Linked DNA regions of Alligator mississippiensis. The protein of the gene in region 1 binds, or shares a complex with, the protein of each later gene. Links are inferred from orthologs where the notes say so. Each region holds a gene or a part of one and is shown on either strand. Other genes may lie near its edges.

The links.
Region 2: the proteins of STAP1 (region 1) and LAT2 are in contact, whole or in part, in a crystal structure (PDB 3MAZ), measured with the Homo sapiens proteins. The link is inferred for Alligator mississippiensis from reciprocal best matches to the Homo sapiens genes STAP1 and LAT2. Residues at the interface, in NP_001304698.1 of Homo sapiens: Arg184, Arg203, Pro204, Gly205, Ser206, Ser212, Ile215, Gln217, Ile219, Lys225, His226, Tyr227, Lys228, Glu239, Leu240, Glu241, Tyr255, Phe256, Glu259, Thr260, Arg261, Asn263, Leu264; in NP_054865.2 of Homo sapiens: Asn134, Ser135, Tyr136, Glu137, Asn138, Val139, Leu140, Ile141, Lys143.

What each region holds. Positions count from the first base shown.
Region 1 is NC_081825.1:133,207,139-133,214,506, forward strand, and holds the start of STAP1 (signal-transducing adaptor protein 1), read right to left. Parts: upstream 3,010-7,368; coding exon 2,998-3,009; intron 1,504-2,997; coding exon 1,432-1,503; intron 1-1,431. UniProt on the Homo sapiens protein: In BCR signaling, appears to function as a docking protein acting downstream of TEC and participates in a positive feedback loop by increasing the activity of TEC.
Region 2 is NC_081837.1:13,846,231-13,853,605, forward strand, and holds the start of LAT2 (linker for activation of T-cells family member 2), read right to left. Parts: upstream 3,008-7,375; 5' UTR 1-3,007. Other genes in the region: EIF4H (eukaryotic translation initiation factor 4H), read right to left, coding at 4,988-5,127, 5,248-5,403, 7,317-7,375. UniProt on the Homo sapiens protein: Involved in FCER1 (high affinity immunoglobulin epsilon receptor)-mediated signaling in mast cells.

The DNA.
Region 1 (7,368 bases):
AGGAAATACGGCATTAAGATGATACTTCCTGTATAGAGATGTAAACAACTTCAGCTACAACCTCTATATGCAAAACAGATTACTTAATTAAATATGCCCTCTGGAATTTAAAAACAAAGTTTACTTGTTATGGCTGGCTTTTGAGTCCTAAGAAGATGTCTATGATGATTCATGCATGGGCTTGCAGGGAAAAACTATAAAGGGGGAAAATTCTCACTATCATAGTCCCTCTCTTTACACATCTTGTACAGTGAAACATTTGGGAGATGTTGCAGAAACGTACTGCTGGAGGGTTTTGATTCTTCCAACAATTTATCTGGGAACTGCTGGCCTAATATAGACTCTTGGTGGTTGTAAAACACAGTCTTTACTGTCATGTTCATTGAACAAAGTTGTTGCTGGCGAGACTGCAGTAGTTTTGCTAACCACTGCAGCTTGAAATTTTTTATTTAAGAGCTAAGTTATGACATTGTTGTAAACTATGCTCTTAGGACAACCTAGAGCAATAAGTCTTTTACATCTTTCACTGAAATAAGCATAAATCAAGCACTACTTTAGTGAAGTCAAGGGGCCACAACAATATTCTAGTCACATGGGAGAGAATAATCAGGCCCTTTATAAAATGGTTTTAAGGAAAAAATACATCCCTATGCACACTGCTCTGAAAAACTGTGGTGGGGCCTTCAACTGTGGAGCTTGGTTTCAAACACAGTTCAAGCAAGATAAGCTGTGTCCGTTCAGGGTATTAAATAATTCTTGTTATACTGGTGCTTGTTTTTGATCTGCAGAAATTTTGTGTTAGGAAGGCATAAACTTGGCACTGGAGTAGAATTTCTTGCTTTTCTGTCAAAGAGCCTGTACAAAAGATAAAGAGGATATACATGCTGTATGTATCATAATAATAGCATCTTTCAACCAGCATTTTCCCCCACTATTTTGAAAACCATATATAGATTAACAGCTGCTTCTCAGCTGTACAATGAAGGAGGGAATGTTTAGCTCTGCTTTTAAGTGCTGTGAACAAGGTGATCTTTAATGTCCATTAAAAATGCCCATTGGGTCCTAGTGGATTGACTACTTGATGGGCTCAGGAGATCTGTGTTCTATTCTTGCCTCTGTGTTTCTTGGGTGACCTTGAAGAAGATAGTCCACCTGCCTGTGCTGCAGCTCCAGATAGATCTCATCCCTAGAGCAAATGCTCAGTGTAGCCTGAATGACTGTGGTGAGGAAGAACTTGCTGTATCATAATTTCACTTCCCATGACTTCACCAGGCATTTTGGTTTCTGGGCTTGCTTTCTGCTCTTTGGGTTTCCAAAGTGTGGGAGGATGGAACTGAGAGAGGCAGTTCTCACACACATGCTTTCTTGCTTGATGATAAGTACTATCGAAATTGCTCAAACATCTTCACATTAGCCCATAGTGCTACTCACCATTGTGGTTTTCTTATCGTTATAGAAGAAAAGTGTGGTTCCTCTGAGTTCTGTCCAGTGATGTTTAAATTCCTGTTGGGTATGAAAAGAGAGTGTCAGTTCTGTGGAAGCTGACAAGATTATCCAGTCAAAAAGTGCCAGTGAATGAAGGACTTAAGAAAAATATTGAAACCTGGACAGTTCTATTTCAGCACGGGATAGCTCTGGAGCAGTCCAGGATCTTCTGCTGACAACTCCTCACAAGCAGAAAAGGTCTATGAAATTAGTCCTTATTCAAAGTCAGGACTTCATGTCAGCAGACCCATGGCCCCTTGCTTTATTTTTGTGACAGTGTAGCTCTACTGGCTTCAGTAGAGGTCTGCCAGTCTAAAACTGGCATTACAAAGCCATGAGCCATGTCCATTATCTTGATTTTGGTACCTGATACTATTGATACTGGTAATCACAACACTTACAACACCTCCAGACTGCTTAGTAACCTGCTAGTATTTTCTAATGTTTTTGTTTCATAGTTAAAACAAGCGAATTCCACAAAATAAAGAAGAAACTATTAAAATAGTCTCATATTTTATATTGCTCACCCTAAATTTTATATCATGGAAGGACTCCATACTAAGGACAGATAGGAGAAAAACTGCAGGTTTTAGCCCTGTAGGGCAAAGGTGCAGAACATGCAAAATTTCCTCTCTTGTCATCTGAAGAAAGATTCTTTGTGCCTGAACATTTGTTTAACATCTCTCCCAATTGCTCCAATAAAAGATATCAACAATCTCTTCCCCCCCCGGCTTCTTGTATATTTTCTGGACTGTCATGGCTACAACAACATTTTCTCATCGAGTCATTCTGACTTCCTTTTTTAACCAGTTAGGGAGCTGCCTCAAAATAAGAATTTATTGTTTATCACGTGGAAAGTATATAGGTATGTTTCTGCATTTATGCCATTATTTTCATTATAAAATTATAATCCTTGTGTCTTCCACTATAGACTGGGACAGTGAATGATGATGAGTTGCTTGTTCTCAGATAAAACCATAACAACTAATTTCTTTCAGTGTTTTAGGTAGCAAATGTCTGTTTAGACATTCTCTGAAGGCACAAACAGGCCAATGTTTAATGTATTAAAATGTGTGTTTAAACACAGGTGGTAGTTTTATTTCTAAGCACCTAGGTGAGGTCTGATTTATAGACAGTGTGGGGCACCCACTGGTGCTTCTTGATATCAGTGGAAGATCTGGATCAAGAACTCAGGTAGCTGAACAGACATTAAACATTGATGTCCCTGCTGACATGGGCCAAAACAAAGCTAGCTGAGGGCAAACAAATGCGGAGATGGAACCCTCCACGCCCAGTCATCGTTTTTTTTTTAACTGTCTAATCCTGAAAAGATTTATTTTGACCCTGATAGTTTGTTCACATGAGGAACATGCTGATATTAATTCCATGCCCTGACACTAAGGATATTCTGACCTTATTCTACACTCTTTCGTTTAGAATGACAGTTTATGTACTTCGTAATTAGGTAATGCATGATAAAGATGAGATGAGTTTTTTTGAAGTGATTGATACCTTCTTGTACATTACGGTACAACTGGGGGTGATTTAGTGCTAACATCTCCCAACTATTGATAGTAATGTCACATTTTTTCAGATTGGCCTTCACGGTGTCTTTGAATATCTTTTGCTCACATCTACAGTGGTGACCGTCAGTCATTTGGGAGTATAGGACCGGTTTTAGGAGCCAGTTGTCAGGCACCCATGTAACATATCTTGTCCATGGAGCTGGCAGTTGTGCGGGCCGGGTCAGACCCCGGGCCCTTTTTGTCGCTCTGCACGTGGGCTGTGGCCGGCAGCCCGGGCAGGCCGGGTCGGAGAGGGAGGTCGCTGAGTTAGAATTAGGCACAGACACGTAACGGTTGATTTTAAGATTGTTTTACTTACACCGAGATGGTCGCGGTGCAGGCTGAGAACTTGCTTGAGTTGCGGTTACAACAGAAAACACGAACACACGTGGAGTTTGCTAGGCTCCACGCAGACAAAACACGAACGATCACGTGGAGTTTGCTAGGCTCCACGCAGACAGAACTCCAGATGTCCAGGACAAGCGCGCATTAAACTCGTCGGTACGTCTTATAGTAGGCTCCGTTCGAAGACGGGAAGAGGTGGGCGGTGGATCAGGCCGCCAAATTCCTCTGGGCAACACACAGGGTTTCTATTACCCTGCCGTGCACACCCAGAGTCCCCGCGAGATGGATGCGGAGTCCTCTTCGGCTTGGGCGGAAACTGCTCAAGCCTCTTATACGGCTAGCAGGCCAATCGCTAGCCGCCACGTGTGAATAATTTAGAACTAGCCAATTGCGGGGCACGAATTTACATACGACGAGTGGGAACTCTTTGCACCGTGCATTTCTGTGTTGCAAAGGAAATGCACCCTGCAAAGATCGCTGCAAAGTGGCGGGAACACTCCTTTGCACGCGGGTTCTCTGTGCAGCAGAACTCCTCCGTGCAATGAAGCTGTATACCCACGGGGATAATTCGAGTGCCGAAGCACACACAAAAAAAATCAGACCTTTGGGTCATGACATCCCCCCTTGCTGAAGGCACAATAGAATTATACTTCAAACCTATCATCCGGGTTATTAACAGCTCTGTCAATGGTTCGCGAAACTAAACGAGCAAAAACAAAATCAGTCAACAATAAAAGTTCGTCCTCAAGGGATCGAATCAAATAATAACCGACACACACACATATACATAAAATTACATTCATAACAAAAAACTGAACGATCATGACTTCGGTGGGCGTCATGGTGGAATCGCGCGTCAGGCCTTTGTTCCTTTTGGTGATGTTGTCCTTCTCGGGGCCTCTCTCCACCACGCACTCCGAATCCCTGATCTGTAAAAGAACTCTCTCAAAATGGTTATTCACAAATCACACAGGACCGCACGATAATGCAGTCGATTAAACTTATCATTACTTATTAAATACAAATATGTAAACACGATTTTATACTAGACAGCTCTTTCTCTTTTCCGACTCAGCAACTCGACGAAATCGTCAATGAGTCGTCGTCGCCTTCTTCTAGATAGTGAAAACCTAACTCGTAGGCTAGCTGCCATTGTCCCGCATCTCCTAAAATCCGAAGCTGTCTCTTATTAAGTCCAGAGCGCTGCAGGAGGTATCCAAACATGTATGACTCCTCTTGCGTTCTCTGGCATAATACTGGACGCTCGGATTTGCGGTGTTTCGTGTTCTGAGCCTCGGTCGGGCGTTGATACTCCCGATCACTGGATAGTCTTGGCTCCATTAGGACGTGCAGTCTTGACAACTGATGAAGGAGACTACTCACAGGATGATCGACCAGTGGGTTCAGCACAATCCGCAAAACCACGATGTTTCTTTGCCCATAAACTTTAAGACAACTATCTATGCTGTCGAGAGTCACCGGAACGGTTCCAGGGTCTCGCAGGTGACGATGAGGCCACGGTCGCATTCGTTGGAGCGGTGTTAGTCCCAACATGCATTCTCTTGGGTTCCAGGCGCAATACGAAACTCCGATAATAGTTAGTACAAGCTGTTCTGCACTGGTATGCTCTGGTCGGCCATCGTGCCATGCGTGGGCCTTCTGTTCAATCACTCCTGCCACAAGCGCTGGAATCGGAATAGGCCAGTGGACGCTAAATGCCACCATGTTGATGTCAGTGACATGTCCCCTACTCCATGAAGCTTGTCTCACCAAGAAGCTTGCTTCTTCCTGGTCCAGGAGGTCGGACCCAAGTTCCACGACCAGACGTCCCAACCACACAGCCAGAGTTTCTTCGGGTCGGATCCTGGATTCTCTACACAAATTCTGCAGTTCGGCTCTGGAACGAGCGTAATAGGTGGTAGCTTGAACTGCATTCTGCGGACCAATGACTGGGCTGCTTTGTACTGCAGGCTGATCAGTTTCTTCGCGAGTTGTCGTTGCTGTTGCTGTTTCTGTCGGAGCTGTAGTCATTGTTACAGTGGGGGTTGTTGTTGTTTCAGGCGGGAGGGGCGGATGCACTCCTCTGCTTGACTCCCCCTCCCTTCGGCAGAGGGGCGTGGTCGGCGGAACCGACGCTGCGTCGCTGGGCGGAGTTACCGGCCGAACACTCGCGGGCTCTCCCAAAGCTCCATCCCTCACTTCCGGCTCCTCCACGCGGTCTTCCCTCTGCTCGGTGCCATCTTGTTGGGGCAGTTTAAGATCCCCTTTCTCAGCCGCTTCTCCGACTGCCCGAACGGCCATATGCAGCTGGGTCTTTAAGCTTAAAGTTTCACTCATTAAATCAGTCATAGTCTGAAAAGCTGCATTTAGTTTTCCCCCCTTGTCGCACTGTAGGACCACTCTCTCATTTACGGCACGGTCCTCCGTCTCCTGGTCTTCGCGGAGCTCGGACAGACGATCTTGACCCCTCAGTCTGGGCACCACCATACAAGGGGAAAACCAGCCGATTGGCATCGTCTCTCCCATCTCTCGGGCACACCGTGAGCAAAGGAGACACTCCCGGGTGGGGGTCGGGCTTACTGCGCTCGCCGGGTCGACTTCAGCAAGGGTCACAGCCTCGAGGGGCCTGTACAGGACCCGCTCATCGGCCATGATACACCTCAACGCCGCGGGGTGAAGATATATTTCTTTCCCTTCTAGGGCTCCAACTTCTGGAGTTCCCTCTTCTCCCCTTAACGAAAGGTATCCACAGACACATCTCTTGCCCGTTCTGCCCGCCTGGTGGTACACGAGGTGCGCCTCCAGTTCTCCGATGCTTGCTACGCTGCGTCTCCCACTTCTCCAAGGGCAGTTCTCAACTAATTCTAACTCTAGCGAGCCCTCTCCTGAGCTCATCGCCATGTGCCGCGGTGATCCTGATCCCATCCTCGTCGCCATGTGCGGGCCAGGTCAGGCCCCGGGCCCTTTTCGTCGCTCTGCATGTGGGCTGTGGCCGGCAGCCCGGGCAGGCCGGGTCGGAGAGGGAGGTCGCTGAATTAGAATTAGGCACAGACACGTAACGGTTGATTTTAAGATTGTTTTACTTACACCGAGATGGTCGCGGTGCAGGCTGAGAACTTGCTTGAGTTGCGGTTACAACAGAAAACATGAACACACGTGGAGTTTGCTAGGCTCCACGCAGACAAAACACGAACGATCACGTGGAGTTTGCTAGGCTCCACGCAGACAGAACTCCAGATGTCCAGGACAAGCGCACATTAAACTCGTCGGTACGTCTTATAGTAGGCTCCGTTCGAAGACGGGAAGAGGTGGGCGGTGGATCAGGCCGCCAAACTCCTCTGGGCAACACACAGGGTTTCTATTACCCTGCCGCGCACACCCAGAGTCCGCACGAGATGGATGCGGAGTCCTCTTCGGCTTGGGCGGAAACTGCTCAAGCCTCTTATACGGCTAGCAGGCCAATCGCTAGCCGCCACGTGTGAATAATTTAGAACTAGCCAATTGCAGGGCACGAATTTACATACGACGAGTGGGAACTCTTTGCACCGTGCATTTCTGTGTTGCAAAGGAAATGCACCCTGCAAAGATCGCTGCAAAGTGGCTGGAACGCTCCTTTACACGCAGGTTCTCTGTGCAGCAGAACTCCTCCGTGCAATGAAGCTGTATACCCACGGGGATAATTCGAGTGCCGAAGCACACACACAAAAAAATCAGACCTTTGGGTCATGACAGCAGTCATATAAGCATAGCTTCAATGCTGGTAGAATTTATTTGAACTAGAATACTAGCATCTGTTCTTCCAATTGAAATAGAGAATTTTCTGAAGACATCACTGATGGTAATTTTCAAACCTTTCAGGTGTTTCTGGTATGTTGTCTGGGTTTTGTACCCATACAACAGCATAGGAACAATGGCAGCCTGGTAAACAAGAAGTTTGGTATGGGTCCTGATGTCATAATCATTTAACATGATT
Region 2 (7,375 bases), on another chromosome or scaffold:
CTCCAGAGCCAGAAAGGCCGAGATAACATAGTACAGGATGCTCTCAAAAGTTCACTGAAGGACAAATTGATTTCCTTAAAATCCTAGAGCAGAATAAATTGCAAGTAACGTGGGGAATTTAGCCAGCAGGGAACTAAACACTTAAGAATGAAAAGCAATTCAATATCTAAGCACTTACGCAAAATTCCTATTTCCAGAATTAAGTACAAGCATTAATCTACTTTATACCGAGGAAGGCAACTCACGATCTGAAGCCAACCAAATGTTTGCAAGTGCCCCAATAGGATACTTGGGTTCTGCATTAGGAAATAAGAACTTACTGATGTATATATCCTGCATATCTATATGCCTGTAGTGGTAACTGAAATTTGCTAACAAATTAAGTCCGTGGCCTTTACAACACAACCCTAAGAAAATAGCCAGCAGCTAACCACAGGAAATTTGGCTGGCATGCTTACTGAAAGCGAGCGTTTGAACAAACATGACAGAAATGCATTTAGTAAAGACTTGAAGATAGACTAGCTTAAAATAAATGACATAAAATCTGGCCTTAGAAACTGAATGCAGGCACCTGATGGGTTTGGCCCCTGCAGCAGGGGACAGATTCTAAGAGGATCATGTATTAGCCATAGTAAGGATGGCACCAATCACGTAGCAGCAGCACTCAGAGCTTTGCACAGCAGAGGGTGATCATGAAAGCGCACGCCAGAACCTTCCAATGAAGAGGTCATTGGACACTCACCCTTCTGATTCAGCTACATTGCCAGCTCTAAAGCCGGCTTTGCTATTAAATCTGCTCTGCACAGAATTTGCAGGAATTTCAATAGGTCTTGTTCTGAACAATTGCGAGTAACAATTTATAGTTCTCTGAACATACAATTAGAATTTGGCAGCTGGCATGAACACGTTACCAAAAGCTTCTCCACCTGCCAAAATGTCCATGATTAGACTTTGTTGCTTCAAACTACATCAAGTGGAAAATACCAGCCTAATCCAAAACTGTGTTGGGGCAAGATTAACTGGACACGTGTGTTCATTCTGCTCTGGAATGATTCCCTATACTAAGTTCCATAAGCTTCTAGTTGTATAATATCTTTTATATCTGCCAAACTTTGGCATGCCCAGCAGAAGTTTGGGTAAAATGTCAATTCCTTGCGGCTTGTCATTATCCTGGTCTCTGCATACTAAGTTACACATTCAGTTGTATAAAGAAATACTGTTCTGTTGGAAAAAAAATGAAAGCAACTTCTTGAAACTAAAGCCTGCTTTCAAACCTTGACTTGATGCAAAACTCTAACAAATTATTCACATCTCTCTCTTCAGTGTCTGTAACGGTCAGAGCACCATTTTCTGGGATTATTATAGCACTTTCAAAGAAACCAAGCTGGAGCACTGTCAGGAGTGTTATTATGTACTTGGCAAAGTAACAAGGCAGTGACAGATTTCAGTCTTTATTTTGAGGGCTGTCACCATAAAGATCACAGGTCTTGACTTCAAGGAAATTTCTGCAGTGTTAACATTTGAAATGCCAAAGATGGTAGTTAAAAGTAAACAGCTAACTTATCTTGTAACACCCTATACCAAGGCTCACTAGCATCGCTTTCTCCAAGGACAACATACTGTACGCAAGAGAGATACAATACAAACTCAACTTGAGCAAAACATACAAAGGGCCAAACTATAGCAATTTTTGCACAAAGAAGTCTGCCAGCATCTTGAAAAATTTGCAAAGCAGTACCTTCTTTCTCCAGACTCATGTTCACAATGTGACAGAAGCTAGGCAAGACATATGGGCCCTCGAATACTTGTAGTTTTCCAGGACAGCAAAACTATATACAACTCTAAAGACAAGGATCTTGCTATAAGGATATCCTGCTCTTAAAACCCCAGTAACCAAAAATAAAGGAACTGGACAAGAGAAACAATTTGATAGTCGATTTCTCTTTCAAGTACCTATTGCAACTTAACCCCCTGCCCTTCTCCCCCCCACAAAAAATATTTCAATTTAGAATTAGACTTCTGTACTAGGTGGGTTTCACTGCACTGAGGATAGGAAACATCCCCTGGTTGGACAGGTTGATCATGGTCAGTTTGCCACCTGAACAATGAGCTGCTTCCGCAGAAGTAACACACTAACATGGCAAGTCCCAGTAATAAATAGAAGTGATTTTTTTTTTTTTAATTCAGTACAGCTTATTTGATTTACAACGCAAAACTTCTACATTTCCCCAGAGAAACTGAAGGTTTTTCACATCCACATCAATGCCATTTACTACAGGTTATACCACTAAGTTCATCAACAATTCAACTATTTCCTACTTTGTGCTTAGGACATGGATTTGTACCATGATATCAAAGTAAGCACAGAAAATACCTTATCCCACAGAAGCAAGCATGCTATTTTCCACTGCAGCCAACAAGTCACAAAGATGACCTGGCAGGAGCCAATCATCTTGGAGCTTTGAATTTTACAGCCTTCTCCTCCAAATCATTCCCAACTCTCCTTTACTTAACTGCTATAACTGTCCCCTCCCCCACTACCCGAGTCCAATCAATGTGTGAAATATTTGTTTTCTCGGGCAAGATCAATCCCACAAACAGTTCACAGACATGCCCAGATAGGGCTGATTACTTTGCCTTAGTCTAGATTAAGAGAGGCCCTGCAAGAAGACTAGAACAAAGCCTTTTTTTAAAAAAACAGATTTTAACCAAGTAATACATCAAATTCTGCAGAAAGAGTGCTGCTCTGCATCTAATATCCTTGACTATTTACTCCAATAAGGAAATTTGTCAAAGAGAAGGAAAACTAGGATTGCTTTAGGCAAAATGATCTTAAACAAAAGCATTTAGATGCATTTACCAAAAAAGTGATCACTAGTGTGCCATTCTTACTTGCTCCCAAAAGTTATGTTTAGATGAGAATCTCTCCCCAATTCATCTTTATTGGACTTTATGGTATACCCGAGTTCTCATAAATGTCCAATACTGACAATGTTCTCCTTTGTTAAATAGATGGAGAGAAACTTCAGAAACAACGTTATATTGCAGAGGACTGAAACAAGGTAGGAGACTCACAGAAATAAAGACCAGCATTAAGTATTACTTAATGTCTTCTTTTATTTAAAAGATCATTCACAAAATACCATATCCATAAATTTACTTTCTGTTATGAAGCAGAATGTGTTAAGTGTTTGGAATTTTTTTTTTTCCATTTTTTTTTTTTCCTTACATTTAAAAGTCAACTGTATTGACTAGAAGTGAGCTTTTATATGGGAGCTTTCTCATTCTTAAAATCTTTTCCACATTGATGATGTAAAATAGGTCAAATATTATTGGTTTGGAATACAACCACACAAATGCATGTCTGTCTTAACTTAAGTATTAGTGTTAGACAAATGGTTCTTATGTCAGAAGCAGATTAAGTGATAGGCAGAAAGAAGGAAAGAATAGTTCTGTAAATTGCTGGGACTCTGATGTTACAAAAGGTTAACAGGAAGGAAAAGAATACCGTACTAGCAACGGAGCTGGTACTGAAGCAGCCTTGCTTTCAAACAACTCATGTCCTCTTTGAGGTACTCTAGTATGTTTGTTGCTTGCCTGCTATCTGAAAATTGTCAGCACTGATGTTAGGAACCCAAGAGTTATTTCACACTGGACTTGTCTTCTCAGTTTTTTACAGCTCCAAGGTTTGTATTTTTTTTCTTTTACAACATTACAAACTATTCAGGATCGCTTTTCTCACATGCCCTCATCAACCCTGACAACAGTGCATTTGAGGGTCAAGGAGGTTAGGCAACTGTTGTCTGGAGAAACCATTACCAAAAATCTTTACACACCAAGCAGCAGAATTCATATCATGAAAGGAGGTAAAGATTCAAATCTTGCCCGTTTTAGAGGCCATTCCAAAAGCAAAATTACTGTCAGCTGTACACGACTGGGTCAAGATGTACAGAAGATGGTGGCAGACAGACATACATGGCATGGCAAATTATACACTCTTTAAACAAACAAACAAACAAAAAAAAAAAAAAAAAAAGAAGTCAACTTTATTTGTAGAAACTTACTTTAAAAATTTACCAAACATGTGAAACTCAAATTACAAGCAGAAAGAGCCAGTCAGCAGTTATGTGCTAGAATAGGCACAGCTTTATAGCACCAACCTCAAGCTCAAGAGTGTAACATTATACTACTTGTAGACAGCCAGTTACATAATAGTGGGATGCATCTTTCCCCTCGAGGTATGCCTACTGAAGCAAGTGCTTTCTTCATATAAATGTCATTAACTAATTAGGCCTGCCTGCAAATCGTTTTACTTCTATCTGCTGAGAAGCAGTCTCTTCCCTGTGAACTGCCTAAAAGGACTTTTATTTTCAGAATGAGTGCTCTTGTGGTATGTGGTAATCCTATTAGCCACTGTCACAGGCAGCACCTAATTCTACAGGGTCAGGGCTGTGCAAGTTACTTGAACTGTTCAATTTGCCAGGGCTCTTCAGTTTACCTCTTTAGAGCCACAGCAATGCAGAACAAAACATGCAGGACAGAAAAGGAGCATTGAGGAAGCCAAAAGGAAATGGCACAGGATATTAACCAAGTCTAACCTATGCTTCTAAAGTAAAACAAACCCAGAAGAGGAAGGAAAGCAGCACCTTTGTCCAGCAGGACCTTCACACAGGTGGAAGCAGCTACTAAATGATCTACTGGAAACTGTGCTGCTTGGAAGGAAACAGAAGAGGGAAAACTCAGCACAAAGCAGGCACTAGATACAGCGAAGCCAAGAACGTACTAAAAACCACTTGTTAACAGCTGACATGCGTTCACAAGCTCTGTGTTTTCGGTTTCAAAGAGGACAATGTCAGATGGCAGGAATGGTAACTGCAGGGTTGACGTTCCAGCAGAGCGAGTCACTCTGTGCTGTCTTGCTTATTTTCCTGCCCGCCCCCCCTCCCCCCCCACCCCTCCCCACTCCCATTCCCTCTCAACCCCAAGCTCAGTCGTGCTGCTCTTTTGCCCCTTCCTCTCGGGGCTTGGCTCCGCCAAAGATAGCAGAGTTAGGATTGGCTACTTGATTGAGGGGGGTAGCAACTGTTCGAGGTTTGAGCTGAAGTCGGGGCCTCTGTGCTCTTTCCTCTGGAAAAAGAAAAATAAGATTGTGAAATTGCCATTGAGGACATTAACTTAAAAATTGGAAGCAAAGACTGTTACGTTAGTTTTACTGGGGAATGTAGGTTCTTCAATGGTGTTTTCTACCTTCTGTTGGCTCTCTGAAGTCCATGGAAGTCCCACGGAGGGGAGGTCCATCTCTAAAGCGGCCAGTCCCTCCCCCTGCCAGCGGAGGACCTGTTCGCCGATCTCCAGTACGAGTCCCTCTGCCCCGGCCTCCTAAGAAGTCATCATCTCTGAAGCCTGCAGAAGGAAGATGTTGAATTTGGACAGTGTGTTTTTGCCATATTCCAAATCTAATGATGTCTTACCGGCTGTCTGGAACACCGTGTCAATGCCACTGCAGTCAGTCCAAAACACTACACTGGTTTTACCACAAAACTTATTTGGATGGTTTTACAAGTAAGCTTATTACTGAAAACCAAAGCATAGCAAGCTTCTGACTGCCTGAGGGTTTTTTCAGTGAACTATCATCATCCATTCAGCATCTAACAGGTTGCCACAGATTTCAACACAAGTCACCTTATCTGTTGTTAAAAATCAAATCCAGCACGTCATAAACCCTTAAAACAAGTCAAAGTTTAAAAAAAAAAATGCCACAAGCTCCATCTGAACTGGTGTTGCTATATTTCCCAAGATTGTGGCATCCAGCTCAGAAGCTACTTACCCAGCTAGATATTTATGCCATGCTCACATTCAAATGGTAGCAAGCTCTGGAGATGTACTAACAAGTAAAGATCTCCTTGCAGTCACTACCACTAATCTGGGAAGAGATCAGATGACTACACACCATGTGCAGAAGCTGGGAAGGCCAGTGCTGGAGCAATGCAGTGCTGCTTCAGCTAAGACTCTGTAGTAACCAAATAAAACAACTTACACCCAATTATTTAAACATTTAACTGAGTATTTGCCATAAAGTCATTTCAGCTAATGAACTAGTCTATTATGAATTGCTTAAAGATCAAAGCATGCTGTACATTTCAGTTAGTGATCCATAACTGTGGACAGTTTCACAAATAAGCTTATTACTGAAAACCAAAGAATAGCAAACTTCTGATTGCCTCAGGGTTTCCACGAACTATGGTCATCCATTCAGCATTTAACTGGCTGCAAAAGATTCCATATTTTAATGAAATATCCTCAATGAAAGGTACCAGACTAACAAATTAGGACAGGAATGTGCTCCAGGCTGCAAACGAGGTATAGTACAAGCACTAGCACTGCAAGCTTCTCACCTACTTGAAGCTTCAAAAATAATACTTCAGTTTCAACCTACAGGAACAGATCAACTGCATTAACTGCTCCTTGTACCACAAATCCATTCAATTCATGCAGAGATGGACAAGTGCCGATTTTGCATTCAGCATCTCCCCACCAGAAAATGGGCCAAACCCACCACCCATTTCACAGAGGACTTTGAACAGTTATTGGATGACACCACCCCCACCCCAAGCAGGAAGGTGTTGTTTTGAAGTAAAATCCATTCGTAGAAAAAATTAAAGTAAATCAATCAATCAATCAATGGCTGCAGGCTGTCACCAGCTATTTTCTCTACAAGCTCTGTCATCTGCTGCTGTTTGCAACAAACTGGCAAAACAAAATAAAAACCACACACATGGAAAAAGTTCTGCAAAATATTTATTGAAATCTTTGTTTGGTAAACTTGATCTTTTGAGAGAAGTCATTTCTGACTCTTTCGTTTGAAGAAAACATGAAAACATACTTCTACCTGGGGTAAAAAAAGGTTAATATTGGCCTTACATCAAGGTCCACCTTCTGCTTCTATTCAGAAGCAAGTTCTATTACTTAATTTTGTCTGTCAGATTAAAAGACTACCTTGTTTTCCTAATTACACCCTGAAAATAATACTTTCCCAGGTGTCACATTTTGCATTCAACATTCAGGAGGCATCATCTTTCCTCCAAACTAAGATTATTCCATACAATTCACCATCACCCTTACCTTATCCTGTTGCCTATGCCAATGGAAACCTGCTCTCTAGCAATTTCTGCTAAAACCCACTCAGATGACCAAGTTATAATGCAATAAAATCTGATTCTCAATGAGCAACCAAGGAACAAAATGTAAAGACATATTCATTTATCAACTCTTGCATTTCTTATGCTGCCTCTCAGTAAGAATATAAATACTGATACCAGCACTGAAGTCATCCCTGGAATCCCATCCACCTCCTCTCGATTCTCGAGGACCTCCT